Canis lupus familiaris: one gene and its partners. The protein of the gene in region 5 purifies or fractionates together with the protein of the main gene of each other region. This does not show direct contact. Links are inferred from orthologs where the notes say so. Each region holds a gene or a part of one and is shown on either strand. Other genes may lie near its edges.

Region 1 (2,466 bases), on a different chromosome or scaffold from region 5:
CCTGCCCAGCAAAAGGGACTTGGCGGCCGAGCCCGGGAACATGTGGATGCGCTTGCCCTCCGACTCGGCAGGCATCCCCCCGGCAGGCGGGGAGGCCGAGCCACACGCCACAGCAGCTGGAAAAACAGTCGCCAGCCCCTGCAGCTCCACAGAGTCTTTGTCCCAGAGGTCTGTCACCTCCGTGAGGGATTCGGCAGATGTTGACTGTGTGCTGGACCTGTCTGTCAAGTCCAGCCTTTCGGGAGTTGAAAATCTGAACAGCTCTTATTTCTCTTCACAGGACGTGCTGAGAAGCAACCTGGTGCAGGTGAAGGTGGAGAAAGAGGCTTCCTGTGAGGAGAGCGAGGTTGGCACTAATGACTATGACATGGAACATAGCGCTGTGAAAGAGAGTGTGAGCACTAACGCCAGGGTACAGTATGAGCCGGCCCACCTGGCTCCGCTGAGGGAGGACTCGGTCTTGAGGGAGCTCGAGCGCGACGACAAAGCCAGCGACGACGAGATGATGACCCCGGACGCTGAGCGCGGCCCGGTGGAGGGCGGCATGGAGAGCAGCCTGCTGCCCTACGTGTCCAACATCCTGAGCCCGGCCGGCCAGATCTTCATGTGCCCGCTGTGCAACAAGGTCTTCCCCAGCCCACACATCCTGCAGATCCACCTGAGCACGCACTTCCGCGAGCAGGACGGGCTACGCAGCAAGCCGGCCGCCGACGTCAACGTGCCCACCTGCTCGCTGTGTGGCAAGACTTTCTCGTGCATGTACACGCTCAAGCGCCACGAGAGGACTCACTCGGGCGAGAAGCCCTACACGTGCACGCAGTGCGGCAAGAGCTTCCAGTACTCGCACAACCTGAGCCGCCACGCCGTGGTGCACACGCGCGAGAAGCCGCACGCCTGCAAGTGGTGCGAGCGCAGGTTCACGCAGTCCGGGGACCTGTACAGACACATCCGCAAGTTCCACTGTGAGTTGGTGAACTCCTTGTCTGTCAAAAGCGAAGCCCTGAGCTTGCCCACTGTCAGAGACTGGACCTTAGAAGATAGCTCTCAAGAACTCTGGAAATAATTTTATATATATATAAATAATATATATATATACATATATATACATAGATCTCTATCTAGTTGTGGTACGGTCTAAAAGCAGCCTTGTTTCCTGGAACTAAAACGTCGGGGTGTTAACTCGGTTTTGCACTTTAGAGTAGCATGAGACTCTCACTAATTTAGCATTCTGGTAAAAGAGACTTTCGAGCAAGTCGGAGACTAGAGAGGGCTTTTTCTTTCGAGGGGGTAGGGGAAGGAAGCCAATAAGAACCTTGGAAACAACTCGTCCTATCACAAGATGCTTTCACAGGGCTTAATTTTGTCGACACTGCATTGTCTTCTGAGCGCTCTCTCTCTCTCTCTCTCTCTCTCTCTCTTTTTCCACTTTGTTTTGGTTTTGTGTTTTTGTTTTGTTTTGGTTTTGTTTGGGTTTTTGTTTTTTCCTTTTCAGAGTAGAAATTCCCTCCAGTTTTCTTAGCCTCTTTATATGTCACAAATTGCATGAATCTTTTCTGGCTGTTGGAAACCTGAATGCTTTTAGACCCAAATGGAAAATTTCTGAAATGCTGGATTATCTATTTTTAAACAAGCAGTTGACTTAAAACTTTCTGTGGCAACTTCTGGTTTTCTGACGGTTCCCAATGAGAGAAATTCTGAAAGTACACTGGGATCACTGGGACGCTGTCTTTGTGAAGGTTTGCTTGGGATGAAAAAGGATATTGCAGCTTCAGCAGTGTTGAACTGTGTGTTGAAAAATGTGAATTACTGTTCTTGTATACTGTAACTGATTACACGGGCTGGGGGGGGTGTCAAAGAACTTGACAGGTTGTGTTGATGCTCTTAGTTGAGTCTTGAAAAGTAAATATTAACGCTACAGAAATGCATGAGTTTCAATATATTTTTTGTCTTTGTTTGCATTGTATAACTTTAACGAGTGAGTTTAAAATTATTTAATTTCCTTAGAAAAAAAATAGCACCGTTTGGGGAAAAAAACTGGTGTTATGAAGAACGTAAATGCACTGTTTTTATTTTTATTTTATATAATTTAAATTGACTTTCCCACTGTCCTTAAGTTGAAACTGTTAAGCTGAATAAAAACTTAAGCTGCAAATTGATAACTTCGCTACATAACAAGGAAAATATAAATGTTTACAAACGGCTTAAAGATTTGCATGTGCAGTGTGCATTTATAACAAACTTCTAATTGCACAAAACCCATGCCAGCTCAAAAGTTTAGGTGTACACATTTACCCAGTTGAGCATTTTTAGAGTAACTACTGCACAAATTGACAATAGGTCATTCTCTCTCTTTTTTTTTTTTTTTTTTTTGGGATTTTTTTTGGGGGCTCCCCTTCTCTTTTTCTTCCTTCTCCCTCACCCACCCACCCTCCCTCCCTCCCTCCCTCCCTCTCTCCCTCCCCTTCA
Region 2 (3,500 bases), on a different chromosome or scaffold from region 5:
GCGGCCCACGGCGCGGCCCTCGGTGCGGCCCACGGCGCGGCCCTCGGTGCAGCCCACGGCGCGGTCCTCGGCGCGGATCCGGGCGCCCGGGAGCAGCCGGCGGGGACGGCGGCCGACGGCAGGCACCTGCCCGGCGCGGACTGTCAGGAGAAGCCCCTGAACCTGTCCCTCGGGGCTCTTCACGGCTGCCCGGCCATCTCTCTGAGCAAGAGTTTAATCCCAGGGATCACCTGCCCGTTTTGTACCTTCAAGACCTTTTATCCGGAGGTTCTGATGATGCACCAGAGACTGGAGCATAAGTACAACCCCGACATCCACAAAAACTGCCGGAGCAAGTCGGCGCTGCGCAGTCGGCGCACCGGCTGCCCGCCCGCGCTGCTGGGCAAGGACGTGGCCCCGCTGGCGCACTGCCCCCGGCCCCGGGCCCGGCCCGCCCCCGCGCCCGCGCCCGCCCCGCGCAGCCCGCCAAGGCCGCGCCCGCCGACCGCGACCGTGACCGCGACCGCGACCGCGGGAAGCCGGGCCCCGCCGCGCCCGCCAGGCCCCCGCCGCCGGGCCTCGACCCCAGCACTTTAGCGCCCAGCAACCTGAAGGCGCCGCGGCCCGGGGGGGCGCCGGGGGCCGCCCGGCCTGCAGAGCCCGTGCACGTGGAGCGCGGCCGCAGGCCCGACGCCAGGCCCCGGGCGCCCCCCGCCAGCGCCGCCGCCAACGGCTGCGCCGAGCGCCCCTGGGCCCCGCGGGGCCGCGACCCCCCGAGCGGCCGCCCCGCCGAGCCCGGGGAGCCCCTGGCCAAGCGGCCGCGGCCCGACGCCGAGCCGCCCGCGCCCGCCTTCCGCCGCGCGCTGGAGCTGCCCAAGTACCAGGTGGTGCGCGGCCTGCCCGCGCTGCTGCCCGCCGAGTGCGTGTGCCCGCCGCCCGCCGCACTGCCGCCCAAGGCCCGCGCCACACCCGCGCCGCTCTTCTGCGGGCCCGCGGCGGAAGGTGAGCCCGGGGCCGGGGCGGGGGCGTGCTGTGCGGGTTCCCTGCTCCCCGAGCCGGACCTCGGCTTCTGGTCCTCCTCCAAGTTTGGGGCGATCGGGTCCTCGCGGGCAGGTGTATCACCCGTGAGCCCCCAGGAGCAGGTGCGCCACCCGGTGAACCACCAGGGGCAGGTGCGCCACCCGGTGAGCCCCCAGGAGCAGGTGCACAAGCCAGTGAGCCCCCACGAGCCAGTGCACCACCCGGTGAGCCCCCAGGAGCAGGTGCGCCACCCGGTGAACCACCAGGGGCAGGTGCGCCACCCGGTGAGCCCCCATGGGCAGGTGCGCCACCCAGTGAGCTCCCAGGGGCAGGCGCTCTCCGCACACCAGGGACAGAAAGCCTACGAACCCCAGTGCATGGCTTCTGAATGGTTTTGATAACTAGGATTTTCGGCTCTTGCTGCCTTATTTAGCATTTGTTAAACGCCAAGTGCATCGTAAAAGGCACTCCTTTCCCCTAAATGGATAGATTGTTTAAGTCGTGGATTTACTTTGGAGTTCTCCCCATGGAAATGTTTTCAAAACCCCAGCTTCCTCCTGGCCGCGGTCCCTTAGGGGTGCATGGTGCGTACCTGTGCACATAAAGAGGTAGATCAGAGTGTCCTGGGGACCTGGCCCACTTGGCAAACTTGATTAAACCACTTCCTTTGTCAGATATAAGTCTTGCTGGTTTGTGCAGCCCCAAGGAGAAATCCATTTTAAGCCTCTCAGTTTGTATTAATTTCAAATTAAGGGTTCTGTGTGGTGACAATACTCTTATCAAGGATAGCTTGATGCCATTTGATCGGGTAGGGATAGCAAATTAAAAAACAATTGCTTTCACACACTCCAGTGAATTTCATAAAAATTGTGATGAAATATTAATTTTTGCAGCCTTTTGATTAAAGCAGCCTATTTTTCTCCCTACCAGCTCTTAAAACGGATAGGCGTCAAAACTTTGCCTTTAATTGAAGAGTCTGGGCTCTGTGTTAGAAGCAAAATCCTTTTTTACTTTTTAAAGATTTATTTTTAAGTAATCTACACCCAACATGGGGCTTGAACTCACAGCCCTGAGTTTGAGAATTGCTCATTCCACCAAATGAGCCAGCCAGGTGCCCCATAAAAATCCTTTTCTGAGAAAAGTATTTTTTCTCCTCTTCCCCACAGTTTTGGTTTATGGTGTATATAAGTTTAAAATATTTTATGCTACCATTTTTTGGGGCTTTTTTTTTTTCTGTGCCTAAACCCTGGATCTTAACTTTATAGTTCTTATTAGTGACAGCATAGTACTTAGATCTGTTTTAGCTTTAGTGACTTACAATTTTGTGCTAGCACATGTCCTCAGGGCACTTAAAAACATTTTACTTGTAACTTTGCAACATGAATGCAACTGGTGTGTTCTGATCACATTACCAGTCAGGAATTGTGAAAATTGAACCTCTGACAACCCATATACATCTTCCCAGTTGTTGGACTTAATTCTAAAGACCTTTCCACATTTTTTTCCCCAACAGGAAAAAGGCCTGTGTCGTATCAACACTTGTCTAGCAGCATGCTACAAAAGAGAAACTATGAGAATTTTATTGGGAATGCACATTATCGGCCAAATGACAAAAAAACTTGATTTACTATTTCGGGTAAGAAAGGTGAACGCATATATGATGTATTGATTTTATCTGATTGAAAACAAACCATCTGGCTTATCCAGTAGGATATAAAGTAAAATTACTTTTAATTTTATTTATTTTCAAGATTTGTTTAATTATTTTGGAGAGTGAGAGCGCAGTGGGGGGAGGGGCAGAGGGAGAGGGAGAAAGACTCTCGGCAGAGCCCTGAGATATGACCTGAGCCAAATCCAGGAGTTGGAATGCTTAATGGTGCCACCCAGGTGCACCTAATTTTAATTTTAAAGTGTTTTATTTAAAATTTTTTATTTTTTAAAACATTTTATTTATTTGAGAGAGGGAGAGAGAGAGACAGCAAGAGTAGGGGCAGCAGGAGAGGGAGAAGCAGACTCCCCGCTGACCAGGGAGCCCAATGTGGGGCTCGATCCTGGGACCCTGAGATCGTGACCTGAGCTGAAAGCAGACACTTAACCCACTGAGCCACCCAGGCACCCCAGGTTTGAAGTGTTTTAAAACTTTGAGTGCTCAGGGTCTGTATCAGTGATGATGATTATATTAATAATAGTAATAGAGACTGGAATTTACTAAGCATTTATTTTATGCTCAGTCTTGAAGTATTTTATAATCATGACCTCACTTAATCCTTTCCACGGCAGGGGGCATCAGGCCAGGGATTAGCAAACTGCCCTCCACCTGTTTCTGTCTATAAAGTTTTAACTGGCTGTCAGCCATGTCCATTCCTTTATGTATTGTTGATGGCTGCTTCTGTGCCACATTAGCAGAGCTCTGGGTAGTTGTGACAGGGAGCACACGGCCTGCAAAGCTGAAAATATTTACACTCTGGCCCCTTGGAGAAAATGTTTGCTGACCTCTGGGT
Region 3 (3,500 bases), on a different chromosome or scaffold from region 5:
CCATGGGCCGTTCCACTAGAGCAGTGGGCCCCGCTCATCTGCCCTCTCTCCCTCCAGATTGGCAGGACGACCAGTCCGACAACCAGTCCGATTATTCAGTGGCCTCAGAGGAAGGTGATGAAGACTTTGATGAACGTTCAGAAGGTGAGAGCTATGCCTTTCTGCTGACTTTTTAAATATTGCTTTGTTTCACACCCCTACCAGCATCACTCACACATCCTTTTCTTCTTGCAGCTCCCCGCAGGCCCAGCCGTAAGGGCCTGCGGAATGATAAAGATAAGCCATTGCCTCCTCTGTTGGCTCGTGTTGGTGGAAATATCGAAGTAAGTGCCATTTGGTTCTAAGGTGGGGTGGGTGAGTGCTAGATACTTGGTCATCGATGGAGTAAGGCCTACTCCCTCTCACTTAGGCTCCTCCTTCCTCTAGGTACTTGGCTTTAATGCTCGCCAGCGAAAAGCCTTTCTTAATGCAATTATGCGGTATGGGATGCCACCTCAGGATGCTTTTACCACCCAGTGGCTTGTGAGAGATCTGCGAGGCAAATCAGAGAAAGAGTTCAAGTAAGTGGAGAGCTGGAATGACTGATGGTAGAGCAAAAACTTCTGATCTCTGGTGGTTCCATGGTACTAGTCAAGGCTGCACACGGAAACAGGCAGGTTCCTCTGTTGAAGTTGGTGGGTGTAACCACTAATAATAGGGTTCCTTGTGTTCCTAGTTTCCCTAGAGGAGAACCTGGGGCATGGTGTGGGTTCTGGAGAACTGGCCTTCAGTGTGATGGCAGCTTTATCTTAAGATGGAGCCAGAGTTGTTTGGTGGAAAGATCTCCTCTAGGAGTTGGCCTGATTGCTGTTGAACTCATTTTCTCACTTCTTTGCTACAGGGCTTACGTATCTCTTTTCATGCGACATTTATGTGAGCCAGGAGCAGATGGGGCTGAGACCTTTGCTGATGGTGTCCCCCGAGAAGGCTTGTCTCGCCAGCATGTCCTTACCAGGATTGGTGTCATGTCCTTGATTCGAAAGAAGGTGAGCCCTAAGCCTCTCTGCATTGTTCAGAGTTTCTACGGGAAACTAGAGGACAAACGGGAGAGGAGCCTAGAGCTGGAATTGGTCTTCACCTTCCTGTCCCATTGCTACAGGTTCAGGAGTTTGAACATGTCAATGGGCGTTGGAGCATGCCTGAGCTTGCTGAAGTAGAAGAAAATAAGAAAATGTCCCAGCCAGGGTCACCTTCTCCAAAGACTCCTACACCCTCCACTCCGGGGGACACACAACCCAATACCCCTGCACCTGCTCCACCTGCTGGTAAGTCTGTCTGTACTGTCTATCCTTTTCTGTTCTTCTTCTTTTTTTTTTTTTTGGTCCTTGCCAGTGTTTCTTCTGCTCCCTTGTATTGAGCTCTGACAGAGGAGTCTGGCAGGACACACAGCAATCTCCCTCTCAGTTTAGGAGAGCCGTCCTAAGAATAGGGCTGGCTCTTAAAGGCACGAGAGGACAATTTTAAGATAAGACCAACTGAGAAGGCATGACCTTCTCTCTGATCTAGAACTTTCTTCCTAATTAATTGCCTTCTATTGGTCTGCAGAGGATGGGATAAAAATAGAGGAGAATAGCCTCAAAGAAGAAGAGAGTGTAGAAGGAGAAAAGGAGGTTAAATCTACAGCTCCGGAGGCCACTGTTGAGGTAAGAGATGGGGGTGACCGGATGCCATACGGAAGATAAATGAAGAAGCCCATTCATCTTTTCAGTTGCTGGCCTGTCTGCCTCAACTTATGTACTTTTTCCTTTGAAGTGTACACAACCCCCTGCCCCTGCCTCAGAGGATGAAAAAGTCCTTGTTGAACCTCCTGAGGTTGAGGAGAAAGTAGAAAAGGCGGAGGTGAAGGAGAGAACAGAGGAACCAATGGAGACAGAGCCCAAAGGTATCCACATTTCCAAGTATTACATCCAGATCCCTGTGAAACTTAGGTACTTCTAGCTGGGCTAAGGAAAGGTCAGGAGGAAGTGACACCCTGGAGAATCCCCTACCCTTGATTTTATATTGAGGGTTTTTAATCCCTTAAGACATTTTTTATGATGTTAGTCATTGAGATTTGGGGTTAAGACTGTCCCCCAGTCTTAACTGGTGTGGGACAGAGGAGAATCTTCTTTATTTTTATTTTCTTATAAAGATTTTATTTTTAAGTAACCTGTACCCACCATGGGGCTCGAACTCACAACCCCGAGATCAAGAGTTGCATGCTCTAACGACAGCCAGCCAGGCACCCCAGAACGTTCTTTATATACTCTCAAATCCCATCTGTTCCCCCCAGGTGTTGCTGACGTGGAGAAGGTAGAAGAGAAGTCAGCAGTAGATCTGACCCCCATTGTGGTAGAGGACAAAGGTGAGTGTTTGGAGAAGCTGATCGTGACTAAAAAGGACTCTAAAACTAGATGCAAGGACTTTATCTCTGGTACACCCCCTGGCTTCTCACACCCATATAACTATTTAATCCCAAGCTAAAAGACTCCCAACTGTCCCTACATATGATTGTCACGGGCCAGTGACATTTTTCTGGGTTTGAGAAATACCTGTGTGGAGAAAGGGTGAAGGTGGCTGCATGCTTAGAGCATATAGTGCTGTGGGTAAGGACCAAGGTGCTATGCTTTTGTCTGGAGCTGACATTTTTTTTCTGCATATCCTGTAGAAGAGAAAAAAGAAGAAGAAGAGAAAAAAGAGGTGATGCTTCAGAATGGAGAGACCCCCAAGGACCTGAATGATGAGAAGCAGAAAAAAAATATCAAACAACGTTTCATGTTCAATATTGCAGATGGTGGTTTTACTGGTATGACATTGAGGGACCAACTGGGGTTAGAAGGATCTGAAGTGAAAGTAGGGTTCTTGTCAGAGGCCAGGATACAAAGATTTTACCTCTACCAGATAAGGGACTGCCAAGTTGATTGCACATTCCTCTGACTCTATGTTAGAAAGCCAGAGGCCTACTCCTAAGATGGCATCTGTGGGCCAGGAATAAATAGCTTTTTGAATTCTTACAGATATTTGCCTCTCTTGTTCTTCTCCACCTTCCCCAAATTCCTATTCAGAGTTGCACTCCCTTTGGCAGAATGAGGAGCGGGCAGCCACAGTCACTAAGAAGACTTACGAGATTTGGCATCGGCGGCACGACTACTGGCTGCTGGCTGGCATCATAAAGTATCCTTTGCTGGAGTCTGGGCTGAGGTTCTTGGTAAAGGGTTCTGAAGGTCCTACTGTTTGAAGTTTCTGCTTTCCTTGTTTTGTTTTTCCTGAGCAATTTTCCAATAGCCATGGCTATGCCCGGTGGCAGGACATCCAGAATGACCCACGCTATGCCATCCTCAATGAACCTTTCAAGGGTGAAATGAATCGTGGCAATTTCTTAGAGATCAAGAATAAGTTTCTAGCCCGAAGGTTCAAGGTGAGCAGGATAGGGAGGAATATAGTATTGAAGTGACAGCCTTTGAAATGCAGAAGGGACTGTA
Region 4 (2,551 bases), on a different chromosome or scaffold from region 5:
CTGCCGTATAACCTCACCCTCCGTAGTACTGTCCTTCAGTCTCCCCATCCTCTTCTTGGTCTTATGATGATCAGTTCAATATTATCAACTACTCTATTCCTACCCTCAAAAAAATTTTTGTCTTATTTTTCTTTATAGAATAAGATGAGATACCCTAAATTGCCTATGTTTATTTTCCTTGCAGACTCACACTGGATCCTTCTCTGTGCTGATAGCGAAGGCTTCATCCCATTAACTTTCACGGCCACTCAGGAAATAACCATCAGAGATGGCAGCACAAATGTCTTCACAGACTCTGTCTCAGAGTCTTAATCCTGCTCCTTCTCTTGAAGCCTTTAAAGACCTGACTGTCCAGAGTCCAGATGCCACTGGCTGACCTGCCCGTTGAAGCAGCACTGCCTGATACTTATTTGTGGAGTATTTGCTGCATACATAGCTTTTCAGATGAGGCCATTACAGACGAGGTCTCTTTTCCGCCAGGGACTCTCCTCAGCTGGGGTTGGCGCTGTCGCTCAGCGAGGAAGCACCTGCCACCGTTGGCTGTTTTTCCCTTTTCCCCACCCCGGGCTGAAGCTCACTGCTCTGGAGCAGAGCTCAGTCTTTGTTAGATGGCTCAAAAAGTGGTTGTTTATGTATTCGTGACTGTGTGATTTTGTCTAAGGGCAAAATTCCCAGAACAAAACAGTATTATGGTGCCATATGGATTGTGTTTTATGGTTTCTCTGAGGCTTTCTGTCCCTTGCCCAAAACTGTTAAAGCTGTCTTAGAAGCACTTAAAAGGTACTTCAGCATTGTTATAGATCATTTCCTTGGCTTAAAGATGATAATGAGAGGTACTGGAGAACATATGCTCCAACATATCCTCCTTACTCAAACCAGCAGGAATCAGCAGAGCTCAAAAGAAGACAAAAAAATTAAGTGGACTTCTGTCCCCAGAATAGGCAGTTGTTCTAATGTGGGCTGGACCTGCCAGGATCTAAACCTAACTCAACCAGCTTCCTTAAAAAATTCTGGCTAACCAAGGTCCAGATACTCCTAAAAAGTAGCCCCAGGCAAATTTCAGATGAACTATCAAGTGCTTTGACCCCTGTGGACCCTACTTGAGGATGTGCTTATGTTAACGGTACAACGCCAAGCTCTGGTGCGGTCTAGGGCATGATTACATGCTGTCACTACTCCTGATTTTCTCCCTAGAATGCCCGCCCCCCAGTTTTAGGATCATAAAAATGTCCTATTTTTGTCCAGTAGTTAGCTCCCTCAGTTAAGTTGTCACTTTAATTTTGATGTTCTCAAGTCTTAGAGACCAGCATAGTCTGTGAGAGAACATAGTTCAGAGAATTGGAAATTTCACTCAATCTGAGGTAAGTTAAAAGTACCAACTTATTATAATTATGGGCAAAAGTGCCGAGTTAGTAAAGTGGAAAGAGCCCTGATTGCAACTTCAGATAGACATGCCATTTCTCGAACAGAATCATATATTTCAGTGACGGCATCATGACAAATTGATGAGTGTGTGGCTACTCAGGGTACATCTGCAGATAAATTGTTTCAGCCATTGAGGTTCCATTAGCACATATGCATCTTTTTGCCCCCTTTCCTTGAAAATTATCTGGAAAAAAAACAACTCCATACCCTTGGGGACTCCTGTCTGTCTGTTACCATTTATGAAGATGAAGCTGGAATAGGAAAGAAGTGAGGGCACATTTTGTGGTTCAGATGCATTAGGCAGCTGCTGGGATAATGGAAGTGGAGGCCGTTGGTCTGTAATCAGGTGCTTGAGAGCAGTGGCCGAGGACAGTCTTGAGGCCTGGTTCTGTCTGCAAAGGAAGTGTCTGGGCGAGATGAAAGACTATTATAAAGCCTGAGGGGCCTGGGGACCAGGCAGTAAGATCAGTGCGGGTGCCTCAAGGTACAGGTAATAGCCACCATTTCCCTGGTCAGTCCTGTGAATGAGTCAATAAAATCACTAATGGTTGTTGTGGCCGTTGTGAATGTTCTGATGTTATTTTCTCTGTGATTATCGCTCGTATAAAGACAATTTCTTGATTTTATGTTTGTGTACGTTGTCTCTGTATTTCTTCTGGTGGACAGTCTGGCACATAAATTAGGTATTTCTTTACAACAAATGTGATTCCATGACAACTCTCATACAAAAGACATTTCCTTGGCCTCTGCTATTATTATAGTCATTGGAGCTATAGAAGATAATCCAGTATTTGCTGGCTTTGGAAACAAGGACAGAAGAGCTATAATCTTTTAAGTATTGTTTAATGTTCTGTTGAGAATATTTTGCATAAGGAAAGACGTTATTTACAAATCTCATTTGGTACCCAAATTTTTCTGAATTTTGTATGGGTATATTATTTGATGCACACAATACATATAAAGGCTTAATTTATTTATATTTATATATTTTTAAAATATTTTATTTATTCATGAGAGACATAGAGAGGCAGAGGGAGAAGCAGGCTCCATGCAGGGAGCTCGACGTGGGACTCGATCCCACGATTCCAGGATCACGCCCTAGGCCAAAGGCAGCCGCTCAACCACT
Region 5 (3,391 bases):
GGACCCTCGTGCCCTCTGCTGGCTCACATGATGGAGCCCTCCCGCCCCACTGTCACCCGTCCCCAGGCTGCATCCCCAGCAAAGGCCCCTGCAGCAGAGTTGACCACAGCCTGGATGCTTTCTGCCCCGGGGACTCCCGGGGGGCTTTATCCCTGTTCCCCGAGTCTGTCCTGTCTTGTGATTCTACAGGCTGGGCTCTGTTCCTCTACCAGGGACAATCAGGGCCATGCCCTGTGGTCACCCTGGCCGTGTGTCCCCAGATCTAGGGGATGGTGTCCCTGTCACCTGGTCCTCCTGCTCCTCATCTCTTGTGTTCACGGTGGGCTGAGATGTTTCCAGAAGGGAGTGGAGGATCCGCTCTGGGCCCTCTCACAAAGCCCTGTTCACGTGTTGGGCATCATCCTGGCATTTAGGGTAGCGCAAGGAACCGGTAGGCGCCCTCCCCTCGGCAGGGAGGTGACCAGTCCCCGGGAAGCACTGTGCAGTCACAGGGGCAGGGGCGAGGAGGCGGCAGGGCAGGATAGGTAGGCGGGAGGGGCCAGGCTCGGGAGAGGCGGGTAGAAGCGCGGAGGTGCTGGGCATAGAGAAGCCTCAGCTCACTCCGCAGGGCTGCTGAGGGGCGGTGGGGGCCGTGGGGCTGTGAGGACAGGGCCACTCCGTCCAAAGCCAGGTCCCAAATGGCCTGGGGGCCGAGGAAAGCAGGAGGGGTGGGGCCTGCGTGGCTGTGAGCTGGCGGTCAGGTGGCTCATGGTGCAGGCAGGGAGACCCGGGTGTTGGCACCTGCCTGGGTGACCTCGCCTGTCCCGTCCCGCCTACTTGCTGGACCCGCAGGCGGGCCTACATGGGGACGTTTCTGCGGCCCGTCTTGGGGGAAGCACCAGGACTGGCGTTGGTGACCTCGCCCGCGCGTCTGTGTTCCCAGGCATCGCTGTCTGCAACGTGCCGGCGGCGTCTGTCGAGGAGACCGCCGACTCCACCATGTGCCACATCCTCAACCTGTACCGCAGGACCACTTGGCTGCACCAGGCGCTGCGGGAAGGCACGCGGGTGCAGAGCGTGGAGCAGATCCGGGAAGTGGCTTCCGGCGCCGCCAGGATCCGCGGGGAGACCTTGGGCATCATAGGACTCGGTGAGTTAGCGGAAGCCCTGTGGCTGTGCTGCTGGGCGCCCCCCCCCCCCCCGCCCCGAGGCAGCGCAGGGCCGAGTCCTCTCTGCCCCGGGAACACCGGCTGTGGGTCACACAGGTGCTCACCAGTCACGTGCCTCTGCACAGTCGTGCCCGCCCACTCACACGCTGACCTGTGCTCCCTGTGCTGACACGCCTCCCCCACCCGTACCCTGTGGCACCCTGTGGCTGAGTGGACGTGGCCTTCAGGTGAGGGCCAGGTGGCCCTCAGCCCTGCTCCGGGGGGAGCTGCTCACCCGGCGCGCGGGCAGCTGTGAGTTCTGTTTCTCTGCCTTGTGTGTGGGCGCGTGTCGCTCCGAGCTCGGGCTCCATCCACCTGGGAGGCCCCGTGTGGACAGGACCCTGCCCCCTACTGGCCCCCGTGCCCTCCCCGCCCCTACCCCACCGGCTCTGCAACAGGAGAACCATAGGACACTTGGGGTGTTCTCGAGCCAGGCGCACACGTGCGTGAGTGCAAGGTGCCCACGAGGCACAGGCCTGTCTTCGGTACAGCTCCCGCCTTGCTGGAGGGGACGCACGGCCCCCCGGGGCGCTGTGCCCCTCCCCTGGGTGGGGGGGCACCTGACCTCAGCCGGCAGTGTCGTCAAGAGCCAGGAGGCCCCATTTCAGCGCGGCTGCGCCGGCGCCTTAGCCAGAGCCCCCGTCCAGTGCGTCCAGCGACTGCTCCCTTCAAGGTTGTGGCTACTTAGAGCGCGAGCAGCGGAGCTCAGAGGGAGAGAATCCCAGACTCCTCCCTGAGCGTGCTCTGTCGCGTGCGCCCCCCCAGGCGCCCTTCGGGGATGTTAAAGGTGCTTGGAGTTTGGGTTCCCACGTGCTGCGTGGCAGACGCTCCGTGCGGGATGTCGGGGGCAGCTGTTACCTGACCTCCCAACGCCGCCGGTTAGCAGTTTGGGTGGCATTGGCAGGACTGCTGTGCTCTGGCCTCACCTGGGGTCACTTGCAGGCGGGGCTGTGGCCTGGGGCCTGGTGGTCCCCTCTGGCGGACGCCCTCCGGTGCGCACGGCCCGCTCGGGCCGCCTCAGGTGCGTGGGACGTTCCAGCCACCCGGGGGCTGCAGGAGGGGTGGGGCCCTGAGAGTTGGGGCCGGGCAGGCTGGTCCTGCGTCCAGGTCAGTGCGTTCCTCCCGGGGGTGCTCTGAGCCCCTGTGGCCCCCTCCCTCCAAGGAGCGGGGCCCCTCGTCTGAAGTGGCAGCCCCACCCACGCACTCCCTGGGGAGCACCTCCAGCCCCCCGCCCGCTCCCTGAGTCCCGGCCCCACACGGCCACGCGGGTGTCCCTGCACTCGGCATCTGGATGCAGGCGCCCACGGGGCTGTGCCTTGCACGCCGAGCTAGGCCCACGGTGACGCGGTGTGTCGCCCTGCCAGGTCGCGTGGGGCAGGCGGTGGCGCTCCGGGCCAAGGCCTTCGGTTTCAACGTGCTCTTCTACGACCCCTACCTGTCGGATGGCACCGAGCGGGCGCTGGGGCTGCAGCGGGTGAGCACCCTGCAGGACCTGCTCTTCCACAGCGACTGCGTGACCCTGCACTGCGGGCTCAATGAGCACAACCACCACCTCATCAACGACTTCACCGTCAAGCAGGTGCGCGCCTGCCCCGCCTCCCCCGCCGTCCACAGCCCTGCCACACCCGCACCCCCAGGTCGGGGCAAGGGTCAGGGTAGGGTCACGGTAGGATCACGGCTAGGGTCAGGGTAGGGTCACAGCTAAGGTCAGTGTAGGATCACAGCTAGGGTCAGGGTAGGGTCACGGCTAGTATCAGGGTAGGTCACAGCTAAGGTCAGGGTAGGGTCACGGCTAAGGTCAGGGTAGGTCACGGCTAAGGTCAGGGTAGGGTCACGGCTAGGGTCATGGTGGGAGTTCTACACGTGCCACCGTTTCTTGACCCACGGCAAGTGCCTTTCCCTGCCCTGCGGGCTCCACCGCTGGGGGTCGTCTGCACTGAGGGGCCTGTTTCCTGAGTTCTGGGGGCTCCTGGCCCCACACACAGGGCACACGCCGCACCCGACGGGCTGGGTCCTGCAGTGAGCGTGCCCGTGCGGCGCTTCAGTGCCGTGTCTCCGGGGCAAAGACAGATGGCGGCTGGCAGCGTCACACCGTGGCTGTGAGGCGTGGCCCTGGGTCAGGCAGGAGCTGGAACTAGCAGTGGCCTCTCATGGGCTCCGGGGTCCCCGGCGGGGGTGTGTGTGTGCCCGCACGGGGTCTGCCC
Region 6 (4,160 bases), on a different chromosome or scaffold from region 5:
CAAGTCCCACAAAGCTCTGAATAGTTCTTAACCAAAGAGAACTACAGTTCCCAGAAGGCCTTGAATTGGCCTCAGGTGCCCTGGAGCCAAACCACGGACCTCTACCAAATACTGCGCGTGAGATCTTACAGGGTTTTTTCCAAACTTTGACCAGAATATAATACCCAAAGGGATGGTACCCTAAATAATGCTATCAAGGTTTTTATCTCGGTGTAATATCATTCATACTTCCTCTGTCAACTGGGCTTATGACCCACGGAATGCCTAGGCTTGCGACCAAAAAAAGGCTCCTTAGTATAGTGTACTCAGCAGGCGGTGATGACTGTGGAGCCTCTGGGGGTTACTCAGGTCCCCGGTGCACTTGGTGCCTTAGCATACCCGGCTCAAACAGAAGGGACCCTGAGCCCCGGGTTCAGGAGAGGACGCTGCTCCTGCCGGTACGAAGCAGTCGAGAGCACCGGTGTCCTCCATGCGTTCCCGCTGCCCCCTTCCTGCTCGGGGGAGAAGCGAGGCCGACACTTGCTACCCGGAGACCCAGAAACTAGAGCGCACCGAGGCGGGAGAAGCAGACGCGGGCCTCCTCGGGAAGATAGCCGCCGCGAGCCGGGACGCTCAGACGCCGCTCTCGTTACCTACGGACAGGCGGGGCACGGAGGGGCCACCCCGGCCAGGCGTGCCTCGCCTTCGGCTCCCCGCGCAGCCGACGCCCGCAGCGGCGGGAACGCGCCCCCGAAGCCCCCAGCTTAGGGCAGCCGCTGCCACCGCCGAGGCCGCTCCCGGCGTGGGGGGAGATGGCCAGAAAGCGCGCCGTGGCTCCTTTAAGGCCCCTCCTCGCCCCCCCTCCCCGCCCACGTGACCCGGGGCGGCCGCGCGCCGGCTCGGCCCCCCGCGCAAGCGGCGATGGCGGCGGCGGCGGGAGCTGCAGCGGCGGCGGCCGCCGAGGTGCGGAAGGGGAGGGGGAGAGGCGGGTGCATGCCCGCGCGCGCGCCCGGGGGAAGCGCGCGCCCGTGCAATGCTCCGGGGGTGCAACGGGGCCGGGGGGCCCGGACGAGACCTACAGCAATCCGGAGGGCCAGCACCGGGGGCGGATGAGGGGACCAGGGGGTGGGAGGTGGGGGGAGTGGGCACGGAGGCGCGCGTGCAGCCGCCGGCTGCCCCCGAGTGGGCAGCGGGAGCCGGGGCCCCAGGAGCGCGCGCGAGGGGCACGAGGGGCCGTCCGCCGGGCTGGGGAGCGGCGGGCGCTGGAGGGGTTGGTGCCCGGGGTCCCCGCGGCCTGGGGGACAAAGGGGGAGCGGCGCGTGCAGCCGGGAGGAGGGGGCGGGGCCGGGGCGCAGAGGCCCCGCCCCCTCCCCCTCCTCTTTTCCAGGCCCCAGAGATGCGGGGTCTGCCGAGAGGGAGGGGGCTGATGCGGGCCCGGGGGAGGGGTCGTGCGGCCCCCCAGGGCAGCCGAGGCCGCGGACGGGGGGGCCCCCATCGAGGAAGAGGTAGGCCCCGGAGCCTACTCTCTCTTCCCAGAGCCCAGGCGTCCTGGGCTCCCCAACTTCCTAGCGGGCTGACCAGCCCTCCTATACCTTGTGTCCCCTGCCAGGGGGAGGCCCCTGCTGAGATGGGGGCGCTGGTGCTGGAGAAGGAGCCCAGAGGAGCCTCTGAGAGAGGTGAGTGCGGCTGAACAGGCCCAGCTGGACCTTCACCTCCCCCAACACAGGATTCCCCGAGACCTTAGCCCTGAACTTTTTCTTTCCCCTTACAGTTCACGGCTCTTTGGGGGACACCCCTCGTGGTGAGGAGACCCTGCCCAAGTCCAGCCCTGACTCCCTGGAGCCTGCTGGCCCCTCATCCCCAGCCTCTGTCACAGTCACCGTGGGTGATGAGGGGGCTGACACCCCCCTAGGAGCCACACCGCTCATTGGGGATGAACCTGAGAATCTGGAGGGAGATGGGGACCTCCACGGGAGCCGAATCCTGCTGGGTGAGAGGCTGGGGAGTCAGGGGCCTGGGGGGCAGAGGGGGGGTATCCTCTGATTACCTCTCGTCTTACCTTGTTTCTGTCTGCCTATTTGTCTTCCAGGCCATGCCACAAAGTCATTCCCCTCTTCCCCCAGCAAGGGGGGTGCCTGTCCCAGCCGCGCCAAGATGTCAATGACAGGCGCAGCAAAATCACCCCCCTCAGTCCAGAGTTTGGCTATGCGGCTGCTGAGTATGCCGGGAGCCCAGGGGGCAGCAGCGGGGCCTGAACCCCCTGCAGCCACACCCAGCCCAGAGGGGCAGCCCAAGGTCCACCGAGCCAGAAAAACCATGTCCAAACCAGGAAATGGGCAGGTGAGAATGAGGGGGAGGGGTGGAGGTGGGGAGACCCAGGTAACCCACTGTGTACCCCTTGTGGACTTTTTTTTTTTTTTTTTTTTTTTTTTTTTACAGTTTAGCTTCAGACTTTTTCTCATCCCTTCAGGGCTCGCCATACTTACCTAGGGGCTACTGTGTGTCAGATTCTGGGCTGGGCTTGATCTGAACAGACAGACAAGTTTATATTCTTGGGGAGAGGGGAGTTGTAAAAAAGGTTAGAGGGGCACTTGGGTGGTTCAGTGGTTTAAGCATCTGGCTCGGGTCATGATCCTGGATCTAGTCCCACATCAGGGAGCCTGCTTCTCTGCCTCTGTTGCTGCCTCTTTTTGTCTCTCAGGAATAAATAAGTAAAATCTTTAAAAATAAAAAAAGGTTAGAGGATTACTGTTGTAGTTAATTGTCCCAATTATTCTTATGATAATGACTAAGGAACTTCTAACTTGCTTTCTACCTCAAAGCAAGCCCCAAGGGAGCTTTTTCCCTCCCTTTGAAACTCCCCCTGCTTCCTTTTTCAAAGGGCTTCTAAGGATTTTACTGTGACTCCCTACAGGGAAGGAGGGTGAGGGAAAGGACAAAAAGCCCCAGAATTTCAGAAGCTTTGTGACAGTGTTTTTGGGGGTTTGGGTATGGTTTAGGTAGCTTTGGGCAAGGCACAAACCTATTTTCTCATCTGTAAAATGGGTAAAGAGGGCCCGCTCCTTCGGGTGAGTGAAAAGGTGAGTGTTAGGTGTGGAATGTGCCTCATACCCTTCTTCTCGAGAGACAGCACTTCTTGTGATTGCCACATTCTGGCTTACTGGAGCTTCAGGTGACATTTTTGAGGGTGTGGCTCACCCTTGACTGAATGCAAATGCTCCCTGACCCTAAAGTGTGCTCCCTCTCTGCCACTAGCCTCCTGTCCCAGAGAAGCGGCCCCCTGAAGTGCAGCATTTCCGCATGAGTGATGACTTGCACTCGCTGGGGAAGATGACCTCAGGTCAGCGCCACCCCCACACCCCACCCACCTGCCACCTGATAAATCTTGTCCGGAGGGTCGAAGAACCAGCCTTATTCCTTTCTCTCTCTCCTTCCAGATGTGGCCAAAAGGAGGAAGCTGAACTCTGGAGGTGGCCTGGTGAGCCTAGAGAGGCTGAAGACAAGGCCTCTCCACCTGGGGGGGGCTGCATCCTGCCCTCAAGGGAAATGGTTGGGAAGGGAAGTACCAGCAGCTTCCATTTTTCTGATCTTTTCCTAGTCGGAGGAGTTGGGTTCTGCACGGGGTTCAGGAGAAGTGACCATGGAGAAAGGGGACCCAGGGTCCCTGGAGGAGTGGGAGACAGTGGTGGGGGATGACTTCAGCCTCTACTACGACTCCTACTCTGTGGATGAGCGTGTGGACTCTGACAGCAAGGTGAGAAGGAGCCAGCCTACCTCTCTGCCAAGGCTCACTCTCCAGTCTTTCCCACCCACCCACCCCCTTTGTCTCTCTTTCCTTTTTACCTTGTGACACCCCCTAATTCACCTTCCCATCCTCTCTGTAACTTCCTCCCTTTGTGTGTTCCACCCCAGCCCGGCCCCTCGCCCCTCTCCATTGTGGTAACCACCATCCTGGACTTTGGGTTTAGCATCCCATTTTGGTTTTGGGTTTTTTTTTTGTTTTTAAGATTTAATTTATTTATTCGTGAGAGAGACACACAGAGAGGCAGAGACACAGGTAGAGGGAGAAGCAGGCTCCACGCAGGAGCCCAATGTGGACTCGATCCCAGATCTCCAGGATCATGCCCTGGGCCAAAGGTGGCGCTAAATCGCTGAGCTACCCCGGCTGCCCCCATTTTGTT
Region 7 (3,500 bases), on a different chromosome or scaffold from region 5:
AATGGTGTAGTGGATTCAGAACTGGACAAATAACTGGACAAATAACTAGTCATTGACCGTGGCCCTAAATTGGCAGCTAACCCCCGATAGCTGTATAAGATTTATGTTCTAACCACAGGGGTTCTTCTCTGTGTTAGTGAGAGTCACGGTCTAGGAGAAATACATGTTTTTTTGTTCATTTGCAGGCCTGTTTCTTCTTCTTCATCTTCCTCACCTCAACGACTCTTCCTTCTTATTTCTTTAATTGCCAGTTGGATTACTAATAAAATGACATTCTGTTTATGAATGTGTTCTTTGTCACCATGGCTTATTAAATCAATTGTTCTCTTAACAGCCTGGAGAAACACATGTTGTCACATACAGAAGAGAGGGAATACAAGTGCGATCAGTGTCCCAAGGCATTTAACTGGAAGTCCAATTTAATTCGCCACCAGATGTCACATGACAGTGGAAAGCACTATGAATGTGAAAACTGTGCCAAGGTACAGTGAATTTGTAGACTACTTGGCCTCTCTCTGTCATCCTGCTCTCTCTTAATCCATCACTTGCTATGATATATAAAAACAAGCCTTGAGAGGGGAAACTATAAATATCTTGAGAAAAGTAGACTGAGTGTTGTATGCTAAAAGGCATTAGTACAGTGTATAAAAACACTTAGTGGGTATCCTTTTATTTTTGTAAGGGAGGAAGTGAGGCTTAATGGTGAGTTCCAGAACTAGGTGTCAGACATCCTTGGTAAATTCCTGGTTCCGCTACTGGCTTGCCAGTGTGGGGTTGTTTTATAGCCTTATGGAGAATGAAAATTTTATCCAACGCACATTTACTGATTTCTTTTAATAGCAATTTGTGAGGAAGTCACATAAAGTTTCTGAATGCCTATTCAGAAAGAATAGGAGACTCCTACATTTGCAGATTTTTCCACCCAAGGCCCCACCATAAATCATGACTTGGTTCTAATTAAAAACGTAGTGCCTTAGTGGCCACTGCTAAACAGCATAAGGGTGCAGCGAAAGCACTCCACCTTGACCACGACTCTACAATGTGAAAACAGTAGTTCATATCATGTAATTTTCATGGTTCTCAATTAACTAGAAGATGCCCTAATGTCATTAAAGTTGATTCCTATTTCCAAAACCTTTTCATAGCATTTGAAGAGCTTTCTTCATGACAGTGGAAATTGTGGTATTTGAAATTATCTTTAGAGATGTTTTGAAGTGTGGGTGACTTGTTCTTTTCCTTTCTTTCTTTTCTTCTTTCTTTCTTTCTTTCTTTCTTTCTTTCTTTCTTTCTTTCTTTCTTTCTTAATACAATGTTTAAAGGAATGGTTTTAGCTTCATTGTAATTTGCTGAAACACAGGGTGAACATTAACTCCTGAGGGGACTCCTTGAGTAGACGTAAGATACTTTAGTAAACTCCCCCCAGTTTTGTACATGGTGTGTCTTGGTTTAGAGGATGAAAATAGCACACCAGTTTTAATAATGTCTAGGCTGGCGTTTTATGATTCAACTCTAATTATTCCGAATGGGATCAAAAAGACCTTGAATGTGGTCTAATAGTGCCATAAATTATTTTGTTCGGCTGATACTGATGGACATTTCATGCTGAGGACCCAGAGCTGAATCATTTACGGTCCCTCCCTAGCCTAGAGAAGTGCACGCTTTGGAAAGATGACTTTTCTTTTGGTCTTGAGGGAGCAACAAATAAACAAAACCAAAACAAATAAACCAAATTCCTTCTTGAGTCATTCCTGGTCTTCTTTCTTGTGTCCTGGAATTAAGTTTCTTGATTAATCAGTACTCATTTCCTAGCAGGTTTTCACGGACCCTAGCAACCTTCAGCGGCACATCCGCTCTCAGCATGTTGGTGCCCGGGCCCACGCGTGCCCGGAGTGTGGCAAAACGTTTGCCACTTCGTCGGGCCTCAAACAACACAAGCACATCCACAGCAGTGTGAAGCCCTTTATCTGTAAGTTTTTAACACTCCAGCCCTCCTTCCTGCATCCTTCTCTCGTCCAAAAGGCATTGTGATGAGGAGTGTGGCCGCATGGCCGTAGAAGGGTCTGGGCATTAGCTATTTATGGTCCAATCCAGTAGGGCTATTTTCTGTTACAAGAAAATATTTTACACTCAGATCCATGGTATTTTGTCCATAATCCCCAGGGTGTTTTCTTTTAGATGCAATCAATAATGAGCAGAGAAAGGAGAAGTCATTAAATAATGGAAGGGAAGCCTCCCCAGGTTGTAGGATTTAATAGAGACAACCAGACTTGTCTCCCACTGGAAATGGTCATGGCTTTGTGAAACTGCAAATGGCAGATGCCACTAAATAAGATGAAGTGATAAAAACCTGTTCTGGGTCAGAAAGGACTGGGAGTGTACCCCACTTGGCAAGTGGGCTTATGTGCACGTGTGTGTGTGTGTGTGTGTGTGAGTGTGTGTGAGGAGAGGGGGGCAGATAAACTTGCCCTTAATCTACAGATTTTTACCAATCACAGGCTGCCAGTCGGTAGTCCTTGGGGACTTGAAAAGCAGAACATTTTCATTTTGATGCGGGACCTGCTGCTTCCATAGCTCCCTCCCTGCACTAGAGCAGATTTACAGGCAGTGCATGTTCAGAGGACACCCAGTCTGACCACCTACTTAGAACGTCCCTGTACAGAGCACTTCAGTAACCTACTCCACATAAAGGAAAACTCTGTCCATTTGCTTCTTCTGTCCACCAACTCCCGTCCCCTGTATCGTGCAGTTGTTTTCTCCATCTGGGCAACGACTCTGGACTTCTTTTGATCCATTGCTCAGCAGGGCATACAAACACAGTGACTCACTGAGTTGTGCTACCAACTTCAAGACTGATTTTGGATCCAAACACAGAAGTGATTGAAGCACACACCATGGTTGGCAAAACCTCTGATTTGGGAACCCTTACAAAACATTTTTTTTTTTTTGACGAATAATGCAATAGTTTGTAGTAGGCGTACGAGACACTACTACAGGACCTGATGGGCAAAAAATAATTTTGAGTGCCAGCATGGAGATGCCACAGATTAGCCTGCCTCCTTTTTACCTCCACACAGCCCTCTTTTGTGCTTCCGAGCACCAGGGGGGCTATTTTTTCCAGCTTACACTAGAGTCTTGTTTTGCTCTTATGTTCCTCTGTTCCCTGGGTGGAGTGAAGAGGACTAGCTGATAAACAAAAGGGTGCTCTGGTCTCCCTTGGGGAAGCTCTGTTGAAAGTCACGGGAAATAAAGCATACAATAGAAATTTTAGACTTCTTGTCTCATAAAAGCATTTCTGACTCTAGGTCGTAACGCCCCTAAAAAAATGTACTTGCAAAGGGTTACGGGCATAAATTACTCATTTATTTCTGATTTCTCAGAAACAGACCTTGATACATTTATTGTGTTTGGGTGGAAAAAAAATAGGCCAAACAAATTATGATCACCCTTTTAACGCTTTCTCTATTACTTAAACCAAAAGTCAGAAATTGTAGATTCCTATC

Evidence for each region.
Region 1: the proteins of CTBP1 (region 5) and ZBTB18 purify together in Homo sapiens (affinity purification with mass spectrometry; 3 studies listed by BioGRID and IntAct, counting the BioPlex papers as one, with this or other methods). This does not show direct contact. The link is inferred for Canis lupus familiaris from reciprocal best matches to the Homo sapiens genes CTBP1 and ZBTB18.
Region 2: the proteins of CTBP1 (region 5) and ZNF217 purify together in Homo sapiens (affinity purification with mass spectrometry; 10 studies listed by BioGRID and IntAct, counting the BioPlex papers as one, with this or other methods). This does not show direct contact. The link is inferred for Canis lupus familiaris from reciprocal best matches to the Homo sapiens genes CTBP1 and ZNF217.
Region 3: the proteins of CTBP1 (region 5) and CHD4 purify together in Homo sapiens (affinity purification with mass spectrometry; 3 studies listed by BioGRID and IntAct, with this or other methods). This does not show direct contact. The link is inferred for Canis lupus familiaris from reciprocal best matches to the Homo sapiens genes CTBP1 and CHD4.
Region 4: the proteins of CTBP1 (region 5) and WDCP purify together in Homo sapiens (affinity purification with mass spectrometry; 3 studies listed by BioGRID and IntAct, counting the BioPlex papers as one, with this or other methods). This does not show direct contact. The link is inferred for Canis lupus familiaris from reciprocal best matches to the Homo sapiens genes CTBP1 and WDCP.
Region 6: the proteins of CTBP1 (region 5) and EHMT2 purify together in Homo sapiens (affinity purification with mass spectrometry; 4 studies listed by BioGRID and IntAct, counting the BioPlex papers as one, with this or other methods). This does not show direct contact. The link is inferred for Canis lupus familiaris from reciprocal best matches to the Homo sapiens genes CTBP1 and EHMT2.
Region 7: the proteins of CTBP1 (region 5) and MECOM purify together in Homo sapiens (affinity purification with mass spectrometry; 6 studies listed by BioGRID and IntAct, counting the BioPlex papers as one, with this or other methods). This does not show direct contact. The link is inferred for Canis lupus familiaris from reciprocal best matches to the Homo sapiens genes CTBP1 and MECOM.

The regions. Positions count from the first base shown.
Region 1 is NC_049228.1:35,073,739-35,076,204, forward strand, and holds the end of ZBTB18 (zinc finger and BTB domain-containing protein 18), read left to right. Parts: coding exon 1-1,063; 3' UTR 1,064-1,966; downstream 1,967-2,466.
Region 2 is NC_049245.1:40,079,178-40,082,677, reverse strand, and holds part of ZNF217 (zinc finger protein 217), read left to right. Parts: intron 1-52; coding exon 53-423; intron 424-461; coding exon 462-981; intron 982-2,512; coding exon 2,513-2,622; 3' UTR 2,623-2,635; intron 2,636-3,500.
Region 3 is NC_049248.1:7,660,347-7,663,846, reverse strand, and holds part of CHD4 (chromodomain-helicase-DNA-binding protein 4), read left to right. Parts: coding exon 1-144; intron 145-234; coding exon 235-323; intron 324-426; coding exon 427-560; intron 561-880; coding exon 881-1,025; intron 1,026-1,138; coding exon 1,139-1,304; intron 1,305-1,358; exon of another isoform or gene 1,359-1,498; intron 1,499-1,584; coding exon 1,585-1,682; intron 1,683-1,791; coding exon 1,792-1,921; intron 1,922-2,311; coding exon 2,312-2,383; intron 2,384-2,686; coding exon 2,687-2,824; intron 2,825-3,083; coding exon 3,084-3,192; intron 3,193-3,303; coding exon 3,304-3,436; intron 3,437-3,500. UniProt on the Homo sapiens protein: ATP-dependent chromatin-remodeling factor that binds and distorts nucleosomal DNA. Acts as a component of the histone deacetylase NuRD complex which participates in the remodeling of chromatin.
Region 4 is NC_049238.1:18,573,364-18,575,914, reverse strand, and holds the end of WDCP (WD repeat and coiled-coil-containing protein), read left to right. Parts: intron 1-184; coding exon 185-312; 3' UTR 313-2,051; downstream 2,052-2,551.
Region 5 is NC_049224.1:92,002,343-92,005,733, forward strand, and holds part of CTBP1 (C-terminal-binding protein 1), read left to right. Parts: intron 1-922; coding exon 923-1,129; intron 1,130-2,551; coding exon 2,552-2,766; intron 2,767-3,391. UniProt on the Homo sapiens protein: Corepressor targeting diverse transcription regulators such as GLIS2 or BCL6. Has dehydrogenase activity. Involved in controlling the equilibrium between tubular and stacked structures in the Golgi complex.
Region 6 is NC_049233.1:1,484,577-1,488,736, reverse strand, and holds the start of EHMT2 (histone-lysine N-methyltransferase EHMT2), read left to right. Parts: upstream 1-1,360; 5' UTR 1,361-1,375; coding exon 1,376-1,655; intron 1,656-1,750; coding exon 1,751-1,969; intron 1,970-2,068; coding exon 2,069-2,319; intron 2,320-3,234; coding exon 3,235-3,319; intron 3,320-3,416; coding exon 3,417-3,457; intron 3,458-3,577; coding exon 3,578-3,733; intron 3,734-4,160. UniProt on the Homo sapiens protein: Histone methyltransferase that specifically mono- and dimethylates 'Lys-9' of histone H3 (H3K9me1 and H3K9me2, respectively) in euchromatin.
Region 7 is NC_049255.1:34,038,822-34,042,321, reverse strand, and holds part of MECOM (histone-lysine N-methyltransferase MECOM), read left to right. Parts: intron 1-334; coding exon 335-482; intron 483-1,809; coding exon 1,810-1,966; intron 1,967-3,500.